Caenorhabditis elegans: one gene and its partners. The protein of the gene in region 2 interacts with the protein of the main gene of each other region in a pairwise test. Each region holds a gene or a part of one and is shown on either strand. Other genes may lie near its edges. The genes, in order: cids-1, Y52E8A.2, klf-1 and ceh-36.

Region 1 (3,691 bases), on a different chromosome or scaffold from region 2:
TTATAAAATACAGTATTTATGATTTTTGATCGACCATTACATAAAGAATAACCTGTCATATTATTTTTATTGCCAAAATAATTATTACTCAAGTTTTTCTAATCTCGGGAATATTTATATAATTAGAAGCTAAATGTTGCCAAAAGCTTGACCTACCAAAATAGATTGCAAATCGAGTCCTCGCATTTTGAGAACTTCCAAAGTTTGATTGTAGATGTTAACTTGAATATAAGTTGACATTTTTCAGTAAATACCAACTTGTCGAGTTGCAAAGCAGGAATGAATCAATGACACAGCTGGGCAGACCACAAAGTAAGAGACTCGAAACGCAGACGGTTCTAAGCAGCGCCGACTCACTCCTTCTTTTGCATTATATCTTGTGTCTCACTCGTGCGTTCTTGCCCTGTGTGTTTTCGCTCTCTGCATTTTTCTCTCTATTTTGTAGTTTGCGTTGGACGCCGAAATGTAGTCATGTTGTAGACTACAACATATAAGTGGAGGAATATTTATCAGATTACCGGGATGGTAAAACAATTTCAGAGGGGAAGAGGATACGAATAAGTTAAAATAAAATGAGATAGATACTGCAATAATTAATCCTCACGAAGTGGCAGGAACTTTACGACGACTGGCTTTCCGGCTTCAGCGATGACCAAGTGAATTTTGTCTCCAGTAGAGATTTCACGCTCAGCAGCACCACGGAACGAATCCTAGAAAAAATAAATGAATTAGGTTAAAATTACGAAATTCAATTATACCTTCATCAATGAGATGGCTCTGTCCAATGTGAGTTCCGGACGCTCATATCCTTCAGAGAGCGTAACGTGCCCGATTTGACAATCCAAGAATGGAATGATCATTGGTTCAGCGGCTCCACTGGCTGAGTATCCAAGACGCTCGATACATCCGATTGGGTCGTAACTGAACACGGCCCCTTTTCCGTGCTCGTCAATTCCGGCAAGAATAGCTCCAGTGTAGTATGGGAAGAACCGACGGTAATAGAGGTTGCGGGAGAGAAGTTCTGCGCAAAGATCCACAGACATGTCAGAGCGATAATCGAAGCGGTACTTGTGGAGACGAGATTGGAGAACTTTCTTCAATTGGAGGACATCTCCATAGAATCCAGAGGTGGTGAGGATGATGTTATCATTCCTGAATTAAGAATTATTATTAAAACAAAGACAAATACTGGCTTACAAAATTTGAATCTTCTCTGCGTCACGTGTAAGAATGTTGATGTCGTTTTGGGTCATTCTAGTATCACTTGCCACGATGGCAAAGTTCTCCCCAGAAATGGCACAGGTTGATCCTCCCTCCATTGAATACGGGTTCCAGCGTTGACGCTCAATTTGTCTGGAACTCATCCACTCTGGATGAGCTGCAACTTCCTTCATTGCCTGCTTGAACATTGCCATTTCATTGGTGGCGTTGGCGACAGCCGTGATTCCAGTGAAGCTTGTCATCTGAAAAAGGCGTATACTTATTTAGTTGAAACAATATAAATATTCAATATGACAAAATTCAATTAATACAGAAAACAAATGCTCGAAATTTGAGAATTCAACATAACAGGAAATGCTGACAATGAGAGACATCGTCATTTACAATGTTTAGTCCGCAGTTTTCTGCGCGTTCAAATGCACATCGCACATCGAACTATACGACACTTTGCTGAAATTTATTGAAACGCGTTTTCCTCTCTTTTTTGAATGAAAATTCATTTTTCCAAGGTATTTTTGAGGACAATTCATCGCTTTATCTACATTTCTGATTAAAATTTTTGTGATTTCTTTTTTTCAATAATTGATATTTCAGATGGCAGATTTCACAGAGCAAACTTTGCGACAGAAGTTAACAAATTTATCAAACCACCCTTCCTCAATTCAGACGACTTCTGCCTGGCTTTTGCAAAATCATAGCAATCGGGAATTGATCATTCGAGTTTGGCTAAAGGTATTTTATTCATATTGTATCATTTTTTAGTGTTGTATTTCAGACAGTAAAGAAAGAAACACACGGCTCAAAAATTGTAAATCTTCTTTATGTGGCGAATGATGTAAGCCAAAATGCGAGAAAGACTTGCCCACAATTCAAGGACGAATTTTTTCCCGCAATAGAAAGTTCTTTCAGGTATTGGCATTTTCAAACGTCTAATCTCAAAATTAATTTCAGGCATGCAATCGAGTTGAAAAATGCAAAAGAAGTGGAACATGCAATTGGTAAACTGATCAATGTATGGAAAGATCGTCAGATATTCACTCCATCACAATGCAAACGGCTTCATGAAGTTCATCAACAAGTTAAGCTATCTGGAAGCTTCCCAACACCCGCAGTTGCGAACAAGGAACATGGAAAGGTGTGTGAATTTAATAAATTCCAAAAGAATGCCAAAATGAGCTTAAGGTCGCTCAACCTAGTCAGTTCGTCGTTGAAGAAGCGAAAAAGAATGCACAAGATGTTTTGCTCAGTTTGAAGCGCCTTCAAAACCCGCCGAGCACGGAAAGAGAAATTCGCACAGAACTTTCAAAATATCCGGATAATATTTCGTGCCCAGAAAAGTTGCAGTCAGTTCGAAGTTCGCAAGAAGCACAGTCTCTGTTGGTCCAAAATGAAGAAGCTCTTCCGATGCTGGAGGAATATGTTAAAAGGTTTGATTGAAACTTTTGTGAATTGATTTTGTACATTAACTTATGCTTTCAGGCTGAAAAACGAGACAAATGAACGCGAAACTCTCGAATCGAACTTGAATATGCTTATAGAAAATGTTAGAATGAGCATTGAACATCACGAGAAATTGTGCAGAGAAGTTAAGCGTAGAGAAGATCGAATCAAGGCAGATTTGTTAGAGGTTTGAAAACTAGAAAATCAGTTTTTGCAGACTTGAATTGAATTTCAGGTTGAAAAAACATTCGAATCGTTGCCAGATTTGGCTGCTGAGATGCCAAATGCACCATTGCCAACACTTGAAGCTTTGTTCGAGAAGAGGAAAAAATAAGTATCATACTACGTCATAATTATAACTTTACGATCTCAGTAGCTTTTACTGTACCCCCATTGTTGTATAATTTTTGTTCACTTTGATCTTTTACAATCGTGATCACCATTACCACATAAGTGCTTTATACGTTTTTCTTCTGAACCACCTTAAATGAATTTATTTTTTCTAAAATTCAAGTTAGTTCTATTATCTGAAAACGGTTCTTAACCAGTGTTTATCTCTGAAAGTTTGAAATTAATTGTTTAAAAGCTGATATTTTACAGATGGGTATTCTGGAGAAAATTGCAGAAATCGAACATGAAATTTCAAGAACCCAAAAGAATAAAGCCACTGAATACCATTTGGGTCTTCTAAAAGCAAAGTTGGCAAAATATCGTCAACAATTGTTAGAACCAACAGGCAAAGGAGGTGCCAAAGGAGAAGGATTCGATGTAATGAAAAGTGGAGATGCGAGAGTTGCAATGGTTGGATTTCCTTCCGTCGGAAAATCGACTCTATTGTCCTCAATGACTTCCACTCACTCAGAAGCTGCTGGATATGAATTCACAACTCTTACGTGCATTCCTGGTGTCATCTCTTACAACGGAGCCAATATTCAATTGCTCGATCTTCCTGGAATCATTGAAGGAGCTTCTCAGGGAAAAGGAAGAGGAAGACAGGTTATCTCAGTTGCAAAAACTGCAGATTTAATTC
Region 2 (3,237 bases):
AACCGGCGTCGCAGTTTTAATTTGCATAGTTTCGAGCTGTTGGTTGATCCAGGAGCACACGCCGAGCTGGGAGAATTTCTTAGTTGTCATGTTGTCTTCGGAGATTTGAATGGGCTTTGGGGTGTCATCTGATGACTTGAATTCATCGCCTTCTTCTCCATCGGATTTTTCTTTATCTGAAACTTAGTTTTTCCTCGCCCTTGACAGCTTCTTCAATTTCCTCAAAATCTTCATTTTTCACGTTTCCTGAGCTAGGAGGCTCTTCCTGTTCTTCATTCATCTCCAAATCATCATCATTGTCCGGTAGAATTGCGTCTGGCATGATTTTGGCTGTAAATTCATAGAATGTTCGAGTTTTTTTTATTTTTAATTTTTTTGTAAAAATTAATTTTTCGTTTTTTCTCAATTTTTTGTCCGAAAAAAAATAAGAAAAGTTCGAATTTCTGTGTTTTTTAAGGCGATTGAATTTATGCAAGTCAAGTTCAGTCGACATCCCGAAAAATTCTGATCGACGTCGAAACCACTCCAAAAGCTATGTTATAGTTTTATTACAACTGTAATTATTAAAAAGCAAAACGAATTACACATGAAATTATTGAAAAATTAATTAAAACGAGGTATTAAAGAGATGGAAATTCCGTTGGATCCAGCATCCCTCGATTACAAGCTGGACAAACGCTCTTTTCCTTGAACCATTGGGAAGCGCACTGAAAATTTTGAAATTTATTTATGAAAAGGTTTTTGAAATGAATAATCTTACATCGAGATGAAACCGACGTCTACACGAATTGCATTTGATAGTTTTTTCAGTCGAAATAACGTCGTCCAGACAGATAAGGCATCGAGCATCTGATAGCTCGGCGCTAGAGCTTGAAATTGATGAAGAAAAGGAGACTGACGGGATGGATCCTTTTTCGCTGGAGGTTGAAGCTTTGAGCTTCTCTGCGCCATTCAGAAGAGCTTTTTCATATTCTTGCATAAACGAATCCGAGAAGGATGGAAATTCCGGAAGCTTCTTGAGCTGAATTCGAGTAGAATTGTCGTTTGACATCAGAATCTCTTCAATATTCTCATCCAACACTAGCATGAAATTCTGGAATGCTCGATTGAACTTGATCAGCTCGTATTTCGCGGCACGCATCGTAACTTCATCTGCCGATAGTCTGAAAAATACAAATTAAAATTTTAGTTGAATGCCGTAATTAAAAATACCTGGCGACAAGTTCCGCGGCTCGTCGCATTGGATTTTCCTTCAAAATCAAATTCCTCGTCGATTCTAGGCCTTCCAACGTGTTTACCATGATTTCCAATCGATAAACTCTAAAACTTAATATATTCTGGGAAAAATAATATTTTTAAAACCAGTTAACGACAAAATCACACAGAGAAAGCTGCACAATTCAGAAAAGATCCGAAAAATCGATAAATCCAGCGTGGCAAACAAAACGTGGGCCTACCGTACCGCTTCAAGGGACATGGTATAATTCTTGCACGGGTTTCGCAACGATTGAGTAGTTAATTAATTTAAATGGAGGTAAAATTAAGAATTTCGAATTTGTTGAATAATTTATATATTTTTCAATATTATTTCCAAAAAAAAAACAAATAAAATAAGGAAAATTTGAATTTAATTGACATCTTTCTGAACGAAAAAGCCAAAGCGGAAATTAAATCCTACCGTACCCATTTTTAAAGGCGCACAAAGTTTTATCGGGCCAAGATCCCGCCGCGTCTTTGAAATTTCCAGGCACAGAATTAAAAATAAAAGAGGTTTTAAGAGGAAACCACATGTTGAAAAAGGTTTATTTACAATTCCAAAAAAAACACTTTTATAGTAAAAATACAATTACTTGATGCTTGGCTGTGTTAGTTCCTCGTTTCGATACATATTGACGGTTTTTGAACAAGTTTCTCGAATTGAACGTTCCAAATTAAAGGGAATTATGCAAATTTCTGGATTATTCGGAAAAAAGTTTCACTGATGACTGAAAAAGGAGAAGAATAATATTGTTGGATAGTATAAAAAATGACAAAAAGTAGAGTGCCTAGTTTTTGTCTTTGTCATAAACCTTTGATATTTTTTCCAAGTCATAAATTATTTTTTTTCAAGTTTCTTTTTTTTGAAACTTTGTTTCAAATTTGTAGTTTTTACAGGAATAAAAATCTAGAGGCTTCCGATTTCGGATATGGCTATTGACCAAGGGACGAAAAATGTGCTCCGACTATCGATTTCATTTTTGCTCCTATTTTTTGCTTATATGAGTCAAGAATACATACAAGAACCACTTATCGAGGAAAAGCATAAAACCGGTGGGAATATTGATCCTCACGCCGGTTATCATAGGTTTGTCTCTTCTATATGGTCACTTTTTCAAAAGCAAAACTGATTTTAGTTTTGCTATAACTTACTTCTTTTTCACACTTTCTTGCCTATTTGTTGCTCCAATAATTGATAAGATTTCCGCGAAATGGGGAATGGTTCTGAGATTTTCGGCATATATTGCATTTCAATATGGATTTATACATATGAATACTTATTATGTGTACATTACTTCAGCGAGTTTGGGTGTCGGTGGTGCTTGTAAGTATGAATCAGGAGGGCTTCGCAAATGTTCTGAAACTTTCAGTCATATGGGTTGGCCAGGGAAAATATCTGACGGAAAACTGCACAAGTGAAACTATTGAACGAAATATTGCTCTGACTTGGTTCATTTTTAAGTTCTGGTGAGTACTTCCATCAATTCTCTGTACCATTTTGATTTTTCAAGCCTCCTCGGTGGTGGAATATTTCTCTACGTTCTGTTCTACAATCAAAAAATGAACGAATTTCTGGAATCTGGAGATGTATTGTATTTCCAACATCCATCTGTTTCTAATTCTGCCAATTTTCAGTACAAAACATTCGTCTATATCTGTTGTTCCATTTCTCTATTGGCGGCGATTAACACGGCATTTCTGCCACAATCAGTGTATGTTCCGGAGAGAAAGAAGCATGAGACGTTCGCGAAGACATTGAGTGAGTTTATGGTAGGTCGCCTTTATGCCTGCCTGCCTACCACCTAATCTAAATTGAGTGTGAGCACAATGTCACTGACTGAAGATTATTTCATTTTGACTGTTAATGAAAGTTCAGCTGCTCGGCAGTAGGCACATATACAGCCCATCATCGGGCAGGCGTAGGTTGTCAGGGAAGTAGGCAGATTTTTTTTGCTTTTTGCCTGCCTATCTATCTACCTA
Region 3 (7,673 bases), on a different chromosome or scaffold from region 2:
TGAATAATTTTGAAAGGCTCAAAACCTTTCCAATTTGGTTTTTTTTCAAATTACTAATCTCTGAAAAATCAAAAAAAAAAACACAGAAAAAAAAATCGATATGTATTTATTGATTTCCACGTGGGGGGGGGGGGGGAAAGTGAAATGTGACAAAAATTAATATGACCGTATTTAGTGATGATACCAAGCATTTTTTGAGCAAGAAAACATTCAAAAAACTGTAAAAATGACGTCACGATGTTGAGACGTGACTGGCGGGAAGTTTGAAAATTTTTGAAAAAAAAAACTTTTTTCAAAAATTTTCCAAAAAAAATGTAATGACCGGATAAAAAGTTGAGAAATACATTTTGGGAACCCGTAATTAGTTAATCTGTTGCACCATGTTTTTTTTGATTAGAAGTGGCGTTTCATATGGAGTGAGAGATGATCACTTCGGGAGAAGGCACGTGAACATTGAGAGCACTTGAATGGGCGGTCTCCTGAAAAAAACAATTATTTTTGTTTTTCTTAGCATTGCAGTGCATAATTTAAATAGAGCTCGACGAGAGCTTTCATTTAAGTATAATCATGACTAGGTTTGGGAAAATTTGAAAATTTTTAGGTGTATGCGCCTTTAATTCACTCAAAAATTACCTGTATGTTTCCTATAGTGCCTTGTTAGCTCGTCAGATCTAGCAAATCGCCAATCACACCCGTCCCAACTGCATTCGTATGGTTTTTCACCTGAAAAATGATTTTTTTCATCAAAAAATTTCTAAAAACAACTTTAAAGAGAAGTTATCAAGATTTAAAACTGAAATTTTCAAACTTTTCATCCAGAAAAACCTATATCCTTCGACAAAGAATCGAACCTGTGACCTTCTGGGTCATAGTCTGACATCTTACCGACTGCGCCACGCGCGCACTGCGTGCCGCGCCAGTTGCTGGGCGCGACGGCGCTGGTGGCGCAATAGGTAAGAGAGATGACTGAGACCCAGAAGGTCCCAAGTTCGATTCTTTCTGCATGTTTTTGGTTTTTTCTGGGTGTAATGATTGCTTTTTCAATCTAGAAAATATTTTGTTCAGTACAATTAACAAAGTATTACCTGTATGAGTTCTAAAATGAGCCTTCAAATGTGAGCTTTTCGTGTAGACTTTCCCGCAATTCGGATGTGTGCAATGGTGAAGCCTCTTGACAGATGGTTCAGAAGCATCATATGATGAGCTCGGGCTCGGCTCGCAATTTGAATCCTCGAGGGAAGAGTCCACGTGGAGTCTTTGCGAGGCTTCTGCCATGTGGGTTTGATGCTCTTCCATTTGTTTTTTGATAGCATCCAACTGAGTTTTGATGGCCATCGGATCGACTTGACCATTTGCGTCTGGCATTACAGCTAGACACGCTGAAGCCGTCAGTTCGTCTATTTTTCGCTTAAACTCCAAGGGGTCAAAGTTTTGGTAGACGAAGGAGTTCACAGAGCTGGATACTGAGCTGGGAAGGTCTGATGTTGATGACACACTTTCTACGTTCACTGTGAGAGGTTCGTCTAAAAATTAAAAAACATTTGAAGTTTTGATTTTTCAAAAAAATATTTTGAAAAAAAATATTTTGGAGAAAATTTTTTTCAGCACAAAATTGGTATTATAATTATCTTGTTTTCAAGTTTTGGATATTTTATTGTAGTCAGCTTGTTAAGACCTTTCAAGTGACCCCCATCATGCTAGGTTCTCCCCATGTTGGGTCCCACCACGAAAATTCCCCAGGAGTACTGTAGTTTTCGTGGTGGGACCCAAAATGGGCAGAGCCTAGACATCATGGGGGTCATTCGAAAGCTCTTGATGTGATGAACGCGAAAAAAGGTTATTTTTCGAAAAATTATTTTTGAACTAAAAAAATATTTTTTACCTTAATTTTGTTTTTATCGCTCTCAACTCATCAAGAGCTTCAAAATAACACCCATCATGCCTAGGTTCGGCATATTTTTAAATTTTTAACCCTATGCGCCTTTAAATTCTGGTTCTCGCGGTGAGACCCAAAGTGGGCGGGGCCAAGGCAAGATCGGTGTCATTTGAAGGATCTTGACGAGCCGAGAATAGTTAAATTGTGAAGTTTGACGACTTTTTTTAATTTTGAAGAAAAAATTTTGAAAAAAAATTTTGTGGAAAATTTTTTTTCCAGAATTAAAAAAAAAATTTTCCGCAATTTCAAAACCTTACCTCTTAAATCAAAATTCATTGCGGATCTTTTGACACACGGACTTGTCGGACTATCCATGTCAGCATCCTCCACAACAATACTCTCATGATCCTGATGGCCTGAATCTCCGGAGCTCGAGGAAGCGATATCGAAATTTGAAGTCGAATGAATCAGCCGAATTGGGACATTTCTAGCCATATTCAGGTTAAGATTTCGAGATTGTGGAAGCGGGTCTCGATTCAGAATGTCGGAAATCAAATGGCCCCCGGGGCGCCGGGTATCCAGATTTTCTCGAAGCAGGACTGGAGCGAACGCACCTGAAAATGATTTTTACTTTGAAAATTTGAATCAAGCTAGCCAAGAGCTTTCATTTAAGTATAATCATGACTAGGTTCTGACGATTTTGAACTTTTCAATAAATTTCCGGGTCCCACCACAAAAACTACAGTATCTCTCATTTCTTGTCATACAATACACTTTAAACTAAAAATATGAATTCAGCACACTGAGAGCTTCAAAATAACACCCATCTTGGCTAGGTTAGGTTAAGTTTGAAATTTTCAAACCCTATGCGCCTTTAAATTTAGATTTTCGTGCCGGGACCCAACAAGTTGAAAATTGAAGATCAATATAAAGTTTTAGGCATCGTGAATGCTAATAAAATTTTAAATGAACAGATGAAATATTTGTCAGTGACCTCTAAGCCTGCACTTCCGGGTCCCGCCACGAAAATCAAAATTTAAAGGCACATAGGTGCTTTAAAATTTAAACTCACTGGAACCTAGTCATGATGGGTGTTATTCAAAAGCTCTTTGCACGACAAATTCAATTTTTTCTATAATTTTCAAAAAAAAATTAGTTAGAAAGTTTAAAAAATTGAAAATTGAAAAAAAATCACAAACTTTTCTTGACTTGCATGCCCTGAAAAGCTGCTCCGAGAGCTGTCGTCGGTGTGTTGAATCCGGAAAATGACGACATTGACTCTGAAAAATATATGACAATTTTTACAAATTCGGAGGGTGTTTTGCAGGGGTGTCCCTGATAAGAAATTTTCTTTAGGCGTTTTCTTTTTTTTAGGTGATAAATTTAGTTGAGTTTTTAATTTTTGCAGAAGAATATGATTTCTTCTGCACATTTTGAAATGGGAATGGTTCCGATATCTTGAAAACTGGCAGAGTTATCGATTTTCGAAAAATTTCGAAAAATTTAAAATCGAAAACCTTTAAATTTTAACGCAGAGATTGAACTTAAAACTTCAAAACAATTAAATTCGAACTCAGCACGTTGAGAGCTTTCAAATGACACCCATCATGCCTAGGCTGCGTCAATTTTAGGTCCAACCACGAAAACTACAGTACTCCCGGGGAATTTTCGTGGTGGGACCCAAAATTTTCCAAACCTAGTCATGATTATATATATTTTTCTGAAAGCACGTAAAATTTACAATTCGAATAGTTTGAAAACTTGTGAGAAATACTGATAGTTTTCGTGGTGGCACCCAAAATTGTGGGCAAATTTTCGACAATTTTCGAAAATCGATAACTCAGCGAAAAATTGAGATTTACATAAGATTTTTTGTTTGACAAACACAACAGAAATTGTTCTTTCAGACAAAAATACTTTTCGCAGCCTGGAAACTGTACCTACAGTACCCCAGATCTTTTTCGTGGCAAGACCCAAGAAATTTTCAAAATTTTCAAACCTTGGCATGATTATACTTAAATTAAAGCTCTCAAAACGCTGAATTCAGATTTTTCAATCAAAAATAAAACCCACTCTGATGCTCTGCAATAAAATCACTTTTGATCTGTTCCAGACGGTCATTAAATGAAGTTGTCGGTTGGAAAAGGCTCTGAGTTGAGTCAAAATGTGAATTTTTATATGGTGCAAATGCAGAAAAGTCCGATTGTCTTTCGAAAACCGATGAAGAACTTGAACTTGTTGCTGCTCCGCTATCATTTCCAAATGTCTGCAAAAAAAACACATTTTTAAAGGATTTTTCAATTTTTCCATATTTAAATCTGATTTTTATGCTTAGGCTTGAGCTCAGGCTTAGGCTTAGGCTTTGGAGTCAACTTCGGCTTAGGCTTAGGCTTCGGCTTAGGCTTAGGCTTCGGTTTAGACTTAGGCTGAGACTTAAGCTCCTGCTTAAGCTTACACTTAGGCTTTGGCTTATGCATACGCTTTAGCCTAGGATTAGGCTTAACCTCAGCCTTAGGCTTAGGCTTAGGCTTAGGCTTATGTTTATCTATTTCTTGGTCTTTTTTCGAAATTTTGCGGTTAATAAAAGTTTTTTTTGTGAAATCTGTTCCATTCTAATATCGATTAATTAGTCTTTCGTAGGAAGATGAACAATCCGGTCTAGATTTTCTCTATTTTCTCAGCGCTCTCTCAATCTTATCAATCACTCTCTCTCTCTCTCTCACTTTATGTATGTGTTTCGGTAGATAGAAAGAGAGGCGCCAACGCCCAATGTTCTCCCTACTCTCTTTCTCTGCGTACTCTCTCACTCTCTCACTCTCATTTTTCTTTTTCTTGCGAAACAAGACGGTCGCCGCCGCCGACATCAAGAAAAGACGGTAACCACACCCAAAAAGGCGGGAAAATTGAGAGTGACAAAGAGACTGAGAGATAAGAGGGTTAAAGGACATGTGACTACTGTAGCTTTGAAATTTTGGTGGTTTTTCGTTGTGGGACCTTGAAAATATGAAAATCAAATTCAGCTGGGTGAGAGCTTTCATTTAAGTATAATCATGACTAGGTTTTGAGAGGGAGTCTTAAAAAAATTTAATTTCCGGGTCCCGCCACGAAAATCAAAGTTTAAAGGTGCATAGGCCTAACATAATATAACCAAGATAGCTGTATCTCAAAAAAAAACGAACATTTTCTAGCTTCCTCCTCAACGCGTTGGCCTTCAGCCTTTCGTAGGCACTTGTGCTCTCGGAAAGTTCCCGAATTGATTCGTAAAATTGATGTCCGAATTGATTAAAGCTTCTTGTTGCTTCATGTATCCGCTGTTCAGCATCGTCGTTTTCAGATGAAATTGAGGAGAGGCCTGAAAATTTGAAGATTTTTGGTTATATTTTTGCAAAAAAATTCAACGTTTTCTGCACATTTTGAAATTGGAATAGTTCAAATATCTTAAAAACTCGCAGAGTTATCGATTTTCGAAAAATTTCGAAAAATTTCAAAAAATCAAAACTTTTAAGGCACAGCTTGAACTTGAAACTTCAAAACTGTTAAATTTGAACTTAGCACACTGAGAACTTTCAAATGACACCCATCATGCCTAGGCTCCGTCAATTTTAGGTCCCACCACGAAAACTACAGTACTCCCGGGGAAATTTCGAAATTTTCGAAACATAGCCATGATTATACTTTTCTGAAAGCTCGTGAAATTTTAAATCTGATTATTTTTAAATTTCGGGCTAGAAAGTCATAGTTTTCGTGGTGGGACACATTTTTATTGAAAATTTTTTGTAATTTTTCGAAATTCGATAACTCAGCGAAAAATTAAGATTTTCACTTAATTTTTTCTATGGCAAACACAACAAAATTTATTCTATCAGGAAAACATATTTTCAGTGATGGTATTAAATAAAAAAACATCTCTCACCTGGTTGAAAAAAAGACGGTGACAAATGTACTGATCTATCCGCCCGCGCCAATGGATCAATTGATAATGATGGTTTATTAGGAATGTGTATTAATGGTTCCCGTGATGACGTGGCATTTATCGATGATGACGTCATCGTGGATGACGTGGAATTGAATTGTAGTGTACTTGATGAGGAGCTGAGTGACCCGGAGCCTTCCGGCCCAAACATCTGCAAAAATCGATATTTTTATAGATTTTTTAGAGGGGAAATGGGTAAATTGTGAAAAAGTACATAAGAAAATCTAAATTTGAGAAAATTTTGAAATAATTATTTTTTGAAAAAATTTGAAAAAAAAAATTTTGAAAAAAATTTCAATTTTTTGCTTTTCGATCTTTTGCTCATTTTTGAAGATTTCGATTTTAAGTTTGGTTTTCAATCTATGAAAAAAATTTTTTAAAGTGATTTTTCCCTAAAAACCCCAACAAAAATTTCCAAAAAAGGCGTAGTCTTTTACATTTTCGAGGGTAATGCATCGCCTCCTCAACACACAGCCGAAACAAAAAAAAAAGATAAAAACCGAAACAAAAAACTTGATAAAGGAATAAGAAAATGAAGAAATAGACAGAAACGCAGAGATACACAGAATCGGCCGAAAAAAAAATGGTAGGGAAAATGAATTGTCAGCTGAGAACGGGAACAGGAGAACGTGTCATGTGACATTTATGATTTTTGATTAGAAAATCAGAGGAATTTCTTGAAAAATCTCTAAAAATCAATAAAAATCTATCATTTTTCGTTTTTGCAAAATTGGAAAAAAACAATTTCGAGTTTTTGGCCTAGTGGCTAACAGAGTTGGCTGGGACTCACAAGGCCGGGGCTCGAATCCCCGATGGGGTCAAAATTTTTGTCGAGTTTTGTTTGCATTGTTTATGCTTTGAAAATTGACATGGTAGACGCTTTGACTTTGAAAATGAAAATTCACAAAAAAAAATCGAGATTTTAGTTCATTTCCCGAAAAATATCGATTTTCAGAAATATTTACATAAAAATTCGGGTTTTCCACGAAATTTCCGTCAATTTGAGACCCATATCGATTTTTTCAAAAAAATTAAATTTTTGGCCTTGTGGTTAACACGGATGGGTGGGACTCACAACACCGGGGTTCGAACCCCCGCTGGGGTCAAAACTTTTTTCCAATTTTTTTTTGGTATGTCAGAGATTTTTATTAACAACATTTAGTTCAAACCGTAGCGGACTGAAATTTGGTTTTTTTTTAATTTTTTACTTTGAAATTTTCAAAATTAAAAAAAAACAATTTTCAGCAAAAACGAATCGATTTTACAGAGTGAGAATAGAAAGTGAAAATAGTTGAAAAAACTAGAAGTATTAATGAGACAGAACTAACTACACGTCGATTGTAAATGTGATGTGACAGTTAGTTTGAGACGCACAGAAGAAACAAGAAAAAGATGAAAAAAGAAGAGAGAGAAATGAAAAAGGAACTGAACTATATAAGAACAATCTTCCAAATTAATCGATAGTTACACTAAATTTCGGCGGGATTTGTTAAAATAAAATTTGTGAAAATAAAAACTAGTGATTTTCCGGAATTTTCATATAAAAATTCGAGTTCCCAATAAAATTTCCGTTAATTTGACAACCATATCAGCTATTTTTGAATCATTTTGAAAAACATTTGAAACATTGAATTTTTGGCTTAGTGGATAACACTGGTGATTGGTAATCTCAACACCGGGGTTCGACCCCCACTGTGGTCGACGTTTTTTTTTTCGGTTTTTTACACATTGTTTACAGACTAAAAATGTGTCGAAACTTGAAAATTTAAAAAATAATAGTTGAACTTTTGGCCTGGTGGATAACAGAGATGACTACCACCCACA
Region 4 (5,756 bases), on a different chromosome or scaffold from region 2:
CCATACTTATGGCGCACCCTGTACAAAATAAATTAGTAGGTTTCCGATTTTACCCAAATTCGACCAAGATTGGCCGTACCTGACCAATTAACAAAAACGTCAGCAACACAATTTTTCGACTAAAATTAATTAGTTTTCTGTACCAATGAAATATTGAATTGTCTACAACTATTTATTAATCTATTTCATGAATTCATCAAAAACCTCATTTTCTAAGTACCTTTTTGGAATCACCGTAATGTGTTACACAATCCACTTCAGTTTCCTCCACCGCAAAGGGCATTCCTTTGCTCCACTTCGGAGAGCATCTTGTGCTCATCATTCACATAACAACTCAAAAAAAACCATCTGCTTCAAGACAAAGACCTAGGATTATGGTATTCGCAGACAGTTTACTAGCAACATGTCAGTTTTTATTGTTCAGCAGGACAAGTTATTTATAGTTATGCCGACATGGATATTCATGTGAGGGAAGTGAGATGAAACAATGGACTGTCGATCAATATTCTTGACACGAATATCCTAGGCAGGTTGGTGTTCTCACCTTTGGGGAATGTAAGGTGGGAAATGATATTTAGAATTTATGGATGTGATTGAGAACATCAACGGGCAAATTAATGAAATTCGGTAATAGCTGAAGTGTTGTATTTTAGAATAAGTTAATCTTCCGGTGAATTGACTTTTTAAAACTTTTTTGAACGTTTTTTTCCAAAATAAACTACTGACTTCCTAGAAAATTAATTTTTCCCCAACGTTTCTTTTCACCGTTTCTTTAAACCTATACTTAACTCGTAATTGTTTCTAATGTTACCTGATTATTTGCACTGTTTCCCATTCTCAAAAAATTGAGCTTTTTCTAACTATCACCAGTTAGCCATTAGTTTTTTTTGTTAATTAAAAAATTATATTTTATACAACATAAGTATGAGTGAGCAAAAATCAAACTAATTTTTGAACCCATATATTGGCGCCATTGTGATTAACATTGTCAGATTACACTTACGGATCAAGGATAAGCTTATCCGATAAGGCTGAGCCTGAGCTCCTTCAGATTATAGTATAATGCTAAGTTCTTGTTGCTATGTTTGCAAGCTGAGCAATATCCGTTTTATTCAAAGAATTGGATTCCTTTTTTTGTTACTTTGAAATTTTAAAATGTAAAAATAAACATACAAGTTTTTTACCGTAATTGAAAAATTGTAGCAGATACGTTAAATTACCTTATTTTTTCTATGTCATGAAATTTAATGATATCTTCTATTTGACTTGAAGGGATGCAAGTCTAATTATCTAGTGTGTTTTTTTGAAGTAACAATTTGATTTTTCACCATTATTTTATAAATATATTCTTCTTCTATTGGTGCTTAGGACGTTTTTAAACTTCACAAAATGAAGAATTTGCCTAAATTTCGAAAGTGAACTGGTCTAATAATAAATAGCTGCAGGTCAATTAAACTTATAAAACCTGCATGTATACTTTTTGATGGGCTTGTAGTGGTGCTATACTAATATAGTTAATACGGTAGCTTTAACGGTTATGTTAAATGCGGTTGGCAAATAATGATTATTAAGAACTTTGTTTCACATTTTTATCAAATTTGAGTAAAATGGGTAGCACGTTAAAAACAAAAGCGAGAACATTTCTTGAATGTTCTTTCAAATTCATTCTAACGTATCCGTGTCTTTAAAACAAACAGTCACCCACACTGTATTTGTCTTGAAACGTTCCCACAAACGCGGCCTCCTTTTTCTTGCTCATGTTCTAGTGCGTGTTCTCACTCACTTTCTCACTAGTGGGGTTCCTTTGGTGGAAGACTCCACCCACAGTAGGAGATGTGGACCACCAGATGGTTTGAGGAACTGTGCAACACGTTGTTGTTGTGTTCGTAGATAGGTTACAATTTGTATCGAGGTGTGTAATTTCAGGCATTATTTTGTTGTTATTAATTTTATAAACACGTTTCTGAGTGAGTTTTTTTCTTGAAACCGTATTTGTATACTCGTATTATTAAATTCAAAAAATTTTACCATGCATTTGGAAAAACGTTTCTCATTGTTGCTTATTGATAGTAATTTATAAATTCTGGTTATTGAAAAATTCTCCGTCGACACTATGTATTTTTAAAAGAGCATAACATGAGTCATACGTGGTTTTCACATTTGTGCAATTTTTACAATCTCCAATTTAACCTTAAAAGAACAAACACTTAAAAATTGAAAGCATTTAATACCATTTAATAGAAGCTCACCTTCTAGAGAAGTGACTATACACATTCCCTTCTGTATGTTCCAAACAATTATTTTTCAAACTTGTACTCATTGTTCTTTCAACCACAATCCCTTCATCCACTTTCTAATAATCTTCTCCTGTGCATTGGCTATACGTGTCCCCTGGAAGAAGCCTTAGAACCACCCCACTTGCTAATTATCTCTCGAAATATATATATTTCTCTTCTACCGTAACCCTCTTTGCAAGGCTTCATTCACTTTTTCTGATTTTCATCAGCCTACACGTCATCAGAAAAAAGTTTAATAGGAAAGCACAACACTGAACCCAATGATAACTTAATGATAATGCTTGCCCTTTTCTAGGAACTCGTAACCGAGAAGAGGAATCAGTTGCTCAATTCTCGGTAGAAGAAAAAAGAGATTAATAAAATCTGTGGGATTACCTATAACTTTCTTTTGTCTCGGCTCACATGAGCTTTGAAGAATGAAAAGCTGACAAAATCCATTAGCATCTTCCCTTTCAATTCAATAGCTTTTCACTAGTTATTCAATCGTTACCCCCTGACAAGCAAGGCTTCTTCTCATCGGTGTCATCTTCTTCCAGACTCACCGCCACCCTCCGCCCATTTGCGGATCCGTCGAGCACTTCGCCTGCCCCCGCATGCACAATGACCACCAACTTCTACACCGCCTTTCCGACGCTCGGCTACACTGCTTATCCACAATTTGCATTTGCTGCCGCAACCACGGCACCCAGTCTTACATCGGCAACCACAAGCTCAACGACAATGGCGCCAATGGCTCCAAACAGGTAGTTAATCAGGGGGATCAAAAAATAAAATTGTAAACAACAAAATCGTGGCAGATCAAGATTAGGGTGGATTTTGAGATTACGCTAAGTCTTGGAAAGGTTATCAGAGACTAATACATGCCTAAATACCGACTGGCATTCCAAATCAGTCGACATTGCTAAAAGCTGGCTCCTCTGCCAGCTTCTTACTCCAATTCTGGTCATTTTTTAAACGATTTCTCCCAATATCGATACAACATGATATTTTAGTTAACTATTGATTTGAATTTGTGCTCCCTTTTTTAAATGCAACTAATTTTCAAGAGTTTTATTTCTGATTTGAACAGTTCACAGAATTTTAAGACACATTTCAAATTAAAAATAGAATTAGAATAAGAATTGTGAAATTAAAATCTTTAACGATTTTTTTAAGTGAAAGCGGTCGTCGAGCAGGTCGGCGTGAACGTACCTCGTTCAACAGAGGACAACTCGATCAGCTGGAAAAAGTTTTCCGCGAAACACAGTATCCGGATGTGCACAGAAGAGAAGCATTGGCGAAGGCAATCAATTTGCCTGATGGAAGGGTACAAGTAATTACGGTAAGTTGGATATAGACGCTGAAAACGTAAAATGTGTTCTATAACTATTTGGAAACATAATTGTTATACATAAATGACAACAGATTTCAAATTTTGTATAATGATACGTGCTACCAACCCAATATTTTTCTACTAGATTCCCATTCAATTTCAGGTTTGGTTCAAAAATCGACGAGCCAAGGATAGAAACAACAAAAAAATGGATGGAGTCCATCCGGGAAGCACTTCATCAAGGTAAGACACACATCAACCTTTCCGATTTCTCCAATTATTCGATAATGTTCAGATCATCCAATGGTTCTCCACACAACGAATCAAAGCCTGATACTAAATCACTAGGAATTCACATACCAGGCACACCGGAATTCAATGCACACAGTGCTGCCAAATATGAGGTGAGAATTTCCAAATAATGTATGCTGTGTTGGGGGTTACGGGATGTTATGGGAGGAAGTTGCATGATTTCACACTTTTACAGGCAAACTCAGCAGTCTTGAGTCAACTGCAACAGCAGCAACAGCAGCAATTGCAACAGCCAAAAAGTGAACTGGAGGACTCGAAACCACTTGCAGATACCAAATACGATTCCACTCAATCACTTCTTCCTCAGGCTCAAGCTGCAGGTTAGTAGGGTTCAGTCTATTGTGAGACAAATGTCTGGAAATAAGACGCTACATTTAATAGTAGAAACTAACAGTAAGAGAAATAGAAAATGTGCTTACATTTGTTATTAGGAGAAAGTCATTTTTATCAACAATCAATACTATTTTAATTTTTGTATCCATGAGGCATTATTTAAATTTGCTTTAACTAAAAAAAATTTTAAAGCTGAACATATATTCTGTTCCGTAGTTTCAACTAATCCAACTCAGTTCCAAGTCAACATGACTGCTCTCTAAAAAAATTTTCTAGCACTGTAGTTTATTCCTAAAACTCCAGATGCCATCAATTTCAGCAAAATATGTTCTGTTTTAACAACGATTTCTTAGTTTTATTAGTCTATCAATGTTTTTATTACTGTGGAAATTGGCTCATAGTATTGGCTCAATTGTAGGTGAGAAAAATGTTTTCACTGGAAAAGGTCAATTGACATATAAATGAGATGGAAGTTAATGTAGGAGAATATTAGTTCGAATTACAGACAATAAATACACAACTTCTTAAATGTCACTTTCCAAAAAACCATTTTATTTCAAAAAAAAAACATTTAACTAGACTTCACAAATAATTTTCAGCATATGCATCCTACGCAACTACTGCTCCTTACCCGTACAACTACAACAGCTACTTCCCATCAAACTTTTACTACCAACAATATGGAAGCAACGATTACACCCCAAATATTACTGCCTACTCTCCACTTTAAGTTTTGAATATTCCCTTTTGATTTTTAATTCAAATTCCTATCAACTTGGGTACCACACTATAACTTCTCTCATCTTCTTGTCATAATTTTCTTGAATTTCTCCAAGTATCACTTGATCTCAGAAAAATCTTACAATGCATATGATATTTTGTTTTTTTTTCTGTTGTACCACTGAAATACTTTGTCAGTTTAAAGTTTTGTATGAGTAATGAATTTTGGATAGAATTGTTTCAAATTTTACAATATTTTACAAGTAAACTCCCAACACAGCATCTAAAGTGCCCTCAGGAAACGATATTTGCTCATTTTGGTAGTCGGCAAGCGGAAAGGATTTTAGGGCAAAAGGTGGCGTAATCCCCTTGAGAGACACCCACTTCATTACGTGGAACACCTTTCTCTAACACCTTCCGCCCGTATTGTGTGCTTGAAGTGACTCCTCAGCGAATGCCACGTCATCTCACTTGTCGGAAAGTGCGTTTCAGAACTAATGGTTACATACGCCTAAATTCCTTGCAAATAGTAGACTTTAAAATTTTTAGTTTCTGGTAAAAACTTATTCCATTAGCAATATAATAGTGTCAAAAGATATTGAAAACTTTCAAATTTTCCGAATTTTTTTTTCGTGAAAAATAAAAGCAATTTCAATTAATGCGCTCACTAATCCAATTGAAAATATAAAGGATGCTTTCATTATCAGTCATACGACCGGATTACTGTAACCTTTTATTATTGATAATCTCATTTTCTTTGAATGTCAACCAGGTGTGGTAAA

The links.
Region 1: the proteins of Y52E8A.2 (region 2) and cids-1 interact in a two-hybrid assay, tested with the Caenorhabditis elegans proteins (one large-scale study listed by BioGRID).
Region 3: the proteins of Y52E8A.2 (region 2) and klf-1 interact in a two-hybrid assay, tested with the Caenorhabditis elegans proteins (one large-scale study listed by BioGRID).
Region 4: the proteins of Y52E8A.2 (region 2) and ceh-36 interact in a two-hybrid assay, tested with the Caenorhabditis elegans proteins (one large-scale study listed by BioGRID).

Annotation. Positions count from the first base shown.
Region 1 is NC_003281.10:8,242,630-8,246,320, forward strand, and holds cids-1 (CID domain-containing protein 1), read left to right. Parts: upstream 1-1,815; coding exon 1,816-1,953; intron 1,954-1,996; coding exon 1,997-2,130; intron 2,131-2,172; coding exon 2,173-2,356; intron 2,357-2,403; coding exon 2,404-2,648; intron 2,649-2,700; coding exon 2,701-2,848; intron 2,849-2,896; coding exon 2,897-2,995; 3' UTR 2,996-3,165; downstream 3,166-3,691. Other genes in the region: Putative zinc finger protein C02F5.12, read right to left, coding at 157-240; pbs-6 (Proteasome subunit beta type-1), read right to left, coding at 594-710, 759-1,152, 1,198-1,463; putative GTP-binding protein C02F5.3, read left to right, coding at 3,262-3,691.
Region 2 is NC_003280.10:4,318,919-4,322,155, reverse strand, and holds Y52E8A.2 (RING-type domain-containing protein), read right to left. Parts: upstream 1,321-3,237; 5' UTR 1,302-1,320; coding exon 1,213-1,301; intron 1,164-1,212; coding exon 761-1,163; intron 708-760; coding exon 621-707; 3' UTR 539-620; downstream 1-538. Other genes in the region: Y52E8A.1 (RNA helicase), read right to left, coding at 1-90; Y52E8A.6 (UNC93-like protein MFSD11), read left to right, coding at 2,187-2,344, 2,394-2,581, 2,628-2,724, 2,769-2,844, 2,893-3,016.
Region 3 is NC_003281.10:2,873,145-2,880,817, reverse strand, and holds klf-1 (Kruppel-like factor 1), read right to left. Parts: upstream 6,001-7,673; 5' UTR 5,926-6,000; coding exon 5,790-5,925; intron 5,229-5,789; coding exon 5,056-5,228; intron 4,143-5,055; coding exon 3,950-4,142; intron 3,157-3,949; coding exon 3,076-3,156; intron 2,491-3,075; coding exon 2,194-2,490; intron 1,524-2,193; coding exon 1,086-1,523; intron 904-1,085; exon of another isoform or gene 830-903; intron 724-829; coding exon 634-723; intron 487-633; exon of another isoform or gene 480-486; coding exon 394-479; 3' UTR 142-393; downstream 1-141. UniProt on the Caenorhabditis elegans protein: Transcription factor which modulates genes involved in lipid metabolism and the phase I detoxification pathway, including cytochrome P450 oxidases.
Region 4 is NC_003284.9:14,182,677-14,188,432, reverse strand, and holds ceh-36 (Homeobox protein ceh-36), read left to right. Parts: upstream 1-1,866; 5' UTR 1,867-1,967; intron 1,968-2,833; 5' UTR 2,834-2,897; coding exon 2,898-3,040; intron 3,041-3,452; coding exon 3,453-3,618; intron 3,619-3,772; coding exon 3,773-3,852; intron 3,853-3,904; coding exon 3,905-4,013; intron 4,014-4,096; coding exon 4,097-4,241; intron 4,242-4,853; coding exon 4,854-4,984; 3' UTR 4,985-5,212; downstream 5,213-5,756. UniProt on the Caenorhabditis elegans protein: Probable transcription factor, acting as a progenitor identity factor regulating the development of lineally-related embryonic cells including glial, excretory and neuronal cells. Mediates chemosensory function of ASE and AWC neurons.